Drosophila melanogaster: one gene and its partner. The protein of the gene in region 2 purifies or fractionates together with the protein of the main gene of each other region. This does not show direct contact. Each region holds a gene or a part of one and is shown on either strand. Other genes may lie near its edges. The genes, in order: cher and l(2)efl.

Region 1 (5,199 bases), on a different chromosome or scaffold from region 2:
TAAGGGCCACCCTAGGCCCACAAAACAACAAAAAAAAAAACTCACTTTTCTGGACGCCATATCGATGGTTTTTCTGTTGGTTGATAGGGATCGCTGTCGAATGATCTCGAGTTGTAATACTTTAGTGGGGGTGCTTAATACTGAACACTTGATGGCCCGCTAATTACACAATTCCTGGCGTGGCGAGCACGTTTCTCTCTAAAAAAACACAACACAAACACGACTGGCAAATCCTTCGTTTTTTTTCGTAAACAAATTTCAGAATTTCTTTCTTTTGGTTTTGAAAATGTGTGCACGAAATGCGCGCGTTGCTTTCGGGTTCTTTGCTACACGTACTCGTACTGGCCGCGACAATTTCTCAACTCGACTGAGTTGTGTGCGCCTCCTTGCTCAAAGTTTTTATGCAGCCAAATGCTCGCCGCTTATTGCTCAATTTCTTTATTATTATTTTCTCAGATAAATCATACAGACGGGGATCATCTTAAGTAACTCCCTAAGCAAATATTAGGTAACGCTTATAGGTTATAATTCCAAAAGATACTTTCTACACACTCCTACTGGTTGACAGATAACAAAGGTTTGCCTTCGATTTTTTCTATTATTATTTCAAGTTGGAAATGAAATTAGAATACAATATTATTATGTATATCATAGTTATAGTATAAAATATAAAATTGTGGTTTGTATTTTTATTTTTTTCAGATCATATTAAATAAATGAATACATTTCTCACAAGTTTCTAAAAGTGCATCCTCGTCTGTCAAAGGTCTTCAATACATAATTTGTTCAATATTTATCTCGCTTCATGTTTTGTGTTGTGTTTTTGGTATTGCGTGTGACGTTGACTCGGCGTCGCAGTCGCAGTCGCAGTCGACGTCGACTGCACTCTTGACTCTGTTTGGCAGGTTTTTGGCGACGCTACCACATGAGACCCCCCAGTCCCCACCCACCGCTTGCCCCGCAATCCCCCCCCACCCCCTGCAACTCATCACAAATGTGATTTTCGACGCGCAGCTGATTTTGTTGTTATTCTTTTCATAGAACTGGTTGCCGTCTTTTGTGTTTTATGTTTTTGCTTCAATCTTCTCTGCTGCTGGTCACAATTGAAAGTGCCTCCTGCAAAAATGATTGGCTTTTGGCCATCTCTGGCGGTCGCCCCAAGTACATTCCGCATTTCCCCGTCATTTGACTCACGAGGCGCTGATAAAGAATCCCAAATCGGGGGATCGTAGAACCCGTAGAACTCTTAAATGAAAAGCATATGTACAGTTGTATGTTGTTTATTCTTGTGAGATGACTAACTAGCTCCGGCCAAATCAGCTGTCATAAATTCCTCGATTTTATTTGGCTTGAATGTTTATGCTCGTTTGAAGATAAAACGCAGCAAGAGCACGCTAAATATATCAAACAATTTTATTCTGATTATCTGATTTCAGTGCTATCATGGCGCTTAAAAGGGGTTTTAGGAAGTCTTAAGTGATCTACCAAAATCAATCCGTAAAATAAAATTAAGAAAACTAAACTATAGTCACCATTTTTATGAACTTCAAAAAACCAGTAAGAATTTTAAGATCTAATTATGCTTAGATATGAAACACCATTCATAACAACTCTGTACTAACATTTCTCAAAACCTATTTAATTTCCGTGTGAACGCGCAGCGCGTGTACTTTTAAACAAATTTTATTTTTATTGACCATCATTATTCATGGCGTTTGAATTAATTCAACAGCTGCTTGGGCTGTTAAAATCTCTTGTTGCGCATACGCCCCGTTGCCGTCAAGTAATTTCACGTGCCAACGCTTTATTTAGCTTTTCCCGATTCGGCACTGTTACTTGGATATTTAGAAAATAATTGGAATATAATAAACAATGGCACAGTGGGCTTTCAAATGAATCATACAAAGTCTTCTGAAAATTTCAAAATTTTTAGATACAACAGCTGGTGATTAATTTGGCAATAGAATATGAAAAATAAATATTAGTTAAATATTAGGCTTTTTATTGAATATTTGGCATTTGCCCAACTGTTTTAAGGTATTATTTCTTTAAACAATTGAAAATAAATAAGATAAGAAGTATATAATTGATAAAATTGTATCTATCGTTTATTAGTTTGTATTAATGCCGGCTAAAATGAGGTTCTTAACGATCTTTGCGTTGTTTTGCGTCTTGGCAGGCTGCTATTGCTCTGACTCAACTACGTCATCCGGATATTATTGGGACCCATACTCATCATCTTGGGTTCCGTACGGAGATTCTACCACATCGTATCCCTACTGGGAGGATACTACAACATCTGCACCTGTTGCTTCGTCAACTTCCAGGTCTCCATGTGATGGAAAAACCCAAGGACCCTGCACAAATCTGCTAAAGGGTGCACAAAAGGTTTATGTCTTCTATTAAAAAATCACTTAAACGTGTACGCCTAGTTAAATAAATCATTTGGGAAATACATATGCCGGGTCCCCTTAGGTACTATACCCCGCAGATACCCCAGGTGCGGCAGAGCATGCGATTGAGGCTAAATAAAGATCAGAGGCTCTATTAACATCTGGTGCCCGACAGATAAATGCACTTTACGCTCTCACAACTGAACATTTAATGGCTCTTTCTTTGGGATCCAGCAAAGAGGCCTTTCATCGTCTGAATATATCACGAAATGGCAACGCCTTGTACGCAATATTTCAAACTGAAATTCACATAACACAAAATATTCTATTTTATTTTTGGTAATATATTTATTCGAACGGTTTTTTTTTGGCCGTATACTTTTAGCGCAATATTCATCGCTCTTGGTAAGAATGTAAAATACATTGCAAAGTCGTTTTGCCTTAATTGGGAAAATTATTTCACATACTTTGGCATTTTCACTGGATTTAACATAATTTTTTCCTCGACTTTGCACAAGTTGCGAAATTTCACTTGTTATATATTGCTGTATATATAAAAATATGAGCAAGACACGCGTCTACATATAGCTCACGGATTGCGTATACGCCGCGTATTCCAAGAAAATTCGAGGCCCGCACCGCACACGTCCAAGTCAATACAGCAACTGAAAATCTTTTTCAAAATGCCAAGATACAGCCCACAACTGAGAGTTTTCCCGGTTGTTTTTCCCCCATCTGAACAGCGAGTGCCGATAGAAATATTTTCAGAATTTCCATGCGCCGTGAGCGATTTGTGTCGAAATTTTTCTCACAACTCAAATCATGACTAAGACCACGTCTGTCTGGGTCTACCTGCTACCAATTAGATCAGGACGACACGTGTGACCAGTGCGACACTTCTCTTCTTCCGAAATAAATCAGAAAACGGCGGGTGGCTGAATCACTAAGACATTCCGGCTGTCCGACTGAACGGACTCCTGGCTGTGGGCCAAGAATATCACTTGCCTCCAGAAACATTAAAATAATTCACCACTCCCGCCAAAAAACAAGTGAACTACAGCAACCCAAGTAATTAAAAAAATAGAGGATGCCCCGTACAGAATGATCCCTTACGAGTGACCCGTAGAGGATACATCCTGCCCTTCGTTTTCAGTTCGACTTGCACGCGATTTGTTAGCGGCTTCTTGGCGGCTTGGTGGCGATTTGTGTGCGGCTTTGGTGCGGGTTTTATGCGGTTTTGGTGCATGTTTGGTGATATTTGATACAAGGCTGGCAGTTTGGGAATTATCTTATGTTTAAATGGCTTAATAAATTAATAAATTATTTACAGCATTAAGGAATTACATTATGAATTGAGGTTCTTTAATGAGTTCAAATGTTTTTATCCATCTATTGTCTGCTGGTTGACCTGTGCACATTTGCCATTGCCACTCATCGTTTGTCGCATCCAGTCGCGGTAGTACATTATATTCATGAATATATCAGGCACACCCTGGGCGCAGGGTACAAAGAAGTTGAGTATGCCCACCAGGGTGCCCTGGTGAACTAGAGGACCTCCAGAATCTCCGTGGCAGGCTCCAATATTTGCCTGACGATAAGCACAAATATGGCAAGGTCCCAGTTCCAGATCCTCGTAGGCAGACATCATGGACTCGCAAGCCGGGGAGTTGAGGTGTTGCTGCTGGACACGCTGCAACTGCGATGGCAACGACCCCGCCGCTGACTGAGATCCCCATCCGGTGAAAACCAGCTCCGAAGCTCCTCTTGGAAAAGGGGATGTGGGTAGTTCAACCGCCTGAGTTAGTGCGTTAAAGGTAATGCTCTCGTTCAGGTGGAGCAGGCCAATATCATTCTGGTACTTGGGACTGTCATAGTTGCAGTGCAGGTAGATGGCGTCTGGGTAATAAACAGCTCCTGGTTCCGCATAGCGAATTGTACCAGTGGCCACTTGAAGTCTGCTAGTCGGGTATCCTTTGACACAGTGACCAGCCGTAATTATCCATCGGTCCGATATGATGGCACCACCGCATAGGTGACTACCCAAAAGAGTTTGGAGCGACACCTGGTAGGGGGCATCTCCTTCAGCTGCATTCTGGCCACCCACAATGAAGTGCTCCAATGCCAATAAGTCACAGTAGAGTGAACTGAACACGAGAATATAAAATAGGAAACGTGCAAGCGACATGGCTGAAATGCAATCGCGGACTGAGCTAGTCTGGTTTTACCCTTCGCGATTTTGATTGAACTATACGAAAGTCAAAATGGCCTGACCAAAGGTTCCAACAATCGCGCCATAAACTGATTTTTTATCTGATTCCGATAAATGGTCAAGAAGGCAGCAAGTACGACTGAAAACTTCATTAGCTGACCAGGGCCAGTAACAAGATGTCGGCAGTGGTTTTACTTATTTTGTTGGGTCTTTCGGGACTCGTATCCATAACAGCCATACGAATCAAGGGAAACTCAACGGATGGTCGGTTTTACAAGGATCAACGGATCATCGGTGGTCAGGCAGCTGAGGATGGCTTCGCTCCCTATCAGATATCCTTGCAGGGAATCTCCGGTGCCCACTCCTGTGGTGGTGCCATAATAAACGAGACCTTCGTCCTGACAGCCGCTCACTGTGTCGAAAATGCCTTTATTCCATGGCTGGTTGTCGTCACGGGCACTAATAAGTATAACCAACCAGGAGGCAGGTATTTCCTAAAAGCCATTCATATCCATTGTAACTACGATAATCCGGAGATGCACAATGATATTGCCCTGTTGGAATTAGTTGAGCCAATTGCTTGGGACGAGCGCACTC
Region 2 (3,526 bases):
ACGAGTTCTACCAACTGAGGAACGAGCCTTGGGTATTCTACACCAGCTTTGAAATGATGAAGAAAGATCTGCGAGGAGTGATCAACGATGTCTCCAGATTTCTGAATAAACCCATCAACGATCAGCAAATGGAGAAACTGCTAAAGCATTTGTCCTTCGCGGAAATGAAGAGTATGCAAGAAGCCTATGCCGAAACAATGATCTTATTGAGCTAAACGAATTTTCTTTTCAGAAAATCCCACCACGAATCATCTGTGGGAGTTGGCCCAAGTTCAACACGAAAATGCTGGGAAAGAAATGCACCCGTAAGAGAAAGTCCCATAGTTTTCCGAACAACCATTCACTTGTAATCCTCTAGATTCGTGAGACGTGGGGATGTCAATGGCTACAAGGACGAATTGAAGCCCGAACAAATTGAGAAGGCCAATGTCCGGATACAAGAGGTTCTTGCGAAGAACGGTGTGACTTTGGACGAACTACTGCTCCTGAAAGATCAGTAAGATACATATTGAGAATAATCAAGATAATGTTGTATCTTTTGGTTTAGCTCGGAAGTAAATAACAGCGAGAGAGGAGAGCAAATAAAGCAAGGTCAAGCTGTTTGACCTACCAAACACCTTGTTCTTCAAATGTTTATCTAAAGATTCGTTTTAATTGATATAAAATATGTAGAGTCCAATATATAAGGCACACGTAGACATAAACTAACTAACACTGAAGGCGGTACAAAAGGATTGAGTCCTAGGCGGTGGAGGTCTCCACCTTCTTGGCGTTGTCCTCCTTGGAGGAGGGACCAGTCTGTGTGATCTGCACAAGGCGTTCAGTCTGCGGAGGAGGCAGCGCCTTCATTGGCGCCTTGATGGTCAGCAGGCCATCGGAGGAGAGGGACGATGTGACCGTGTCGGGGTTGACATCACCTAGTGGAAGGATCATACACGTTTAGCATACTTCCTATTTTGTTGATGGAATTCGGACTCACTTGGCAGCTGGTAGCGTCTGGAGAACTGGCGGGAGACATATCCGTGCTCGTCCTGCTTCTCCTCATGCTTTCCCTCCACGATGACGAACTTGTCGGCCACCTTGACGGTGATCTCGGATGGCGAGAACTGCTGCACATCCAGAATGACCTCGAACTTCTCGCTGTCGATGTTGAGGGTGGAACCGGACTCCTGCTTCTGCAGGCTGTTCGTGTGCCAGGGGCGCAGGTATCCCGATCGCAGCACTGTGGGGCGGGAGTTCCACACGGAGGACATGAGGTCATCCCTCTTCAGTCCCTGACCGAAGTGCTGGTCCAAGAGGCGCGAGGTGCGCATTGGAAAGTCGAGCTCATCCCACCAGTCACGGAACATCAGTGGCACTACGGACATCTGCTTTGATCAAGAAACGAGACGATAGTGAGCTAATCACTTCACTTCTTCACTGTTCAATAAATTCCGCGTTGGCTTGGTCCTTCCTCGTACCTTTTTAGATTCAATTCACTTGGATAAACGCGTCTGCTTCGATTCGCGGCTGCTGCGATTTTGATGGAGCTCCTCGAGCACTCACACGATTTTATACCCTCAACAGATTGTTTACATCTTCCCCCACGGGCTAAAAATATGAAAATTTATTTCCCATCTAAATTTAAACGAGCGTCATTCTAGAGAACATTCTGAACCTATATATGCCAAACACATATCTTTGGTGCGAATCTGCGAGCGATTTCAGCCTGTTTTGTTTGTTACCGTGGGAGTCGTGGGATTTGAAGACTCAGACTCAGCCTGTGATTACGATGATGGTGACCCAAAGAAGATTCCATTAGTCACTGCTCAGACAGGCCTTTTTCGGAGTTCAAATGATAGTGTTTCCGATTGTTTGTTCCAGAAGCAACACACATATGTATGTATGCAGAGTATTAAAAAGCAAGCCTACACAAATTCCCGCAGTTTGTATGCAAATTCTATTCTGTATAATATTTTTTCGAAAACCGAAAATCCAAAGTGCAAAATGTGTTCTGGAAAATGCCAGAAGAATTTCTCGACACTTTTACGCCCCCTTTACTCTTTAGATATATAGGAATTTTCATAATTTTCTACCTGTTGAGAGTGTTGATTTGACGCGGCTAATATAAAAATACTTTGGCCACTAAATGACTTTATGAACTATTTTAAGCATCTGCCACTTTTTCTTATTTCTCGCTTTTCCTCTGCTGAGTCATGTCGCGTGCGTTTTCTATCAGACGAAAGAGATGACGTCGCTCAAAACAAAGGAATTTTCAAGCATTGTTTTGAAAATTATACCAGCAATTTGCTTGAATTAGTAGCTCATCAATCATAAAGTTTTACTTCTTAAAATATATCATCGCGAACATATACTATATCAAAAACAAAGTGCCGCCCTCTAGTGTTCATATCTAATTTACCAGTGATGCAAGTACAAGTTCAGCTAGTTACAAACAAGTATCTTCTTTTCATTTGCTGCACCTGTTAAAATGGTACATTTTCATACAATCTCATATATGTTTTCTGTTCCTAACATTTTAGGGACTGGCCCTGTAGTGGATTGTGTACCCAACACAGCCAAACAAACAGTGAGGCAATCACCCTTCGAAATGGGCCAAAAGCACACCAACACCAGTGCAGCAGTGCATGCACTCGATGGCTGTGTGTGCGTGTGAAAGTAGTGAAAGCTGAAAGCCGAGGGCGAACGGGGCCAATACTTATGCTTATGCAAGGCAGCCGAGATGCCGAGATGCCGACGCCACCGCCCCAAAGGGAGGCCAAAAACGGAAAACAGGCGACATTCATCGCAGGACGTGAAGTGTTCACTGTACTTTGGGAGCGGAGGATAAGTCAAGACGTCAACAGAGGAAGCTGTACGATGGTGAGCTCCAAAAATAAACAAAAATCACAGGAGTGCAACTCCTAGCTCCTAAAGGTGTTCACGAGTATGCAGTGGAAAGTAGTTGTAGTAGTGCTTTCGGAGGCACTTTGGGGTTATATGTCGGATTGGGTTTCACTTTCTTCGCTGCATTACAGTTCGCCCCCCACTCGCTGCCCGTGACGTCACGACTGTTGCTTCTGGTGGTGACACTGCTCTTCTGCCCCGTGCAGGCGCATCTCTCGAAGCGAAGCTACTCGGATCAGAGTGTCCACGGCTACATGACCGAGGTGCCCCAAAGGATAACAGGTGGTACATAGTGGCAGCGAGATAACCCTTTCGTTTCCAATGCATTCTAGCGCACCTGCTGGTGGAACGAGGTGTGTAAGGAGGAGTTCCAGAGCCTCTTCCGCTGCAAGTGCCCCCAGTTCTCCTACTGCCGGTAAGTTTCCGTTTCCGGCCGAGTGCCCGGAATGCAATGCGACGGGGGAAACCGAAACCGAATTAGATTTGCTTCCCCCGATTCGGTTTTATGCAATTACTTTCGCATTTCCCAGCTCGCCGGGACGCTACTACAATGCCTACTGCTCGATGACGGATACCGGTTATATTTGGACCCAGCCGAACTGGGATTGGGGGGCGTAGGATGAAGCCGCTCCGGACTTTG

Evidence for each region.
Region 1: the proteins of l(2)efl (region 2) and cher purify together in Drosophila melanogaster (affinity purification with western blotting; one study listed by BioGRID). This does not show direct contact.

What each region holds. Positions count from the first base shown.
Region 1 is NT_033777.3:17,122,353-17,127,551, forward strand, and holds the start of cher (cheerio), read right to left. Parts: upstream 3,038-5,199; 5' UTR 2,887-3,037; coding exon 2,861-2,886; intron 2,435-2,860; exon of another isoform or gene 2,407-2,434; coding exon of another isoform or gene 2,137-2,406; exon of another isoform or gene 2,125-2,136; intron 331-2,124; exon of another isoform or gene 61-330; coding exon of another isoform or gene 46-60; intron 1-45. Other genes in the region: CG45079 (uncharacterized protein), read left to right, coding at 2,137-2,406; CG17477 (uncharacterized protein), read right to left, coding at 3,775-4,578; CG31269 (uncharacterized protein), read left to right, coding at 4,779-5,199. UniProt on the Drosophila melanogaster protein: Involved in the germline ring canal formation. May tether actin microfilament within the ovarian ring canal to the cell membrane. Contributes to actin microfilaments organization.
Region 2 is NT_033778.4:23,684,016-23,687,541, forward strand, and holds l(2)efl (lethal (2) essential for life), read right to left. Parts: upstream 1,529-3,526; 5' UTR 1,461-1,528; intron 1,371-1,460; exon of another isoform or gene 1,368-1,370; coding exon 980-1,367; intron 918-979; coding exon 742-917; 3' UTR 636-741; downstream 1-635. Other genes in the region: St3 (sulfotransferase 3), read left to right, coding at 1-171, 233-305, 359-496, 2,523-2,862, 3,018-3,149, 3,219-3,301, 3,417-3,504. UniProt on the Drosophila melanogaster protein: Vital role in embryonic development.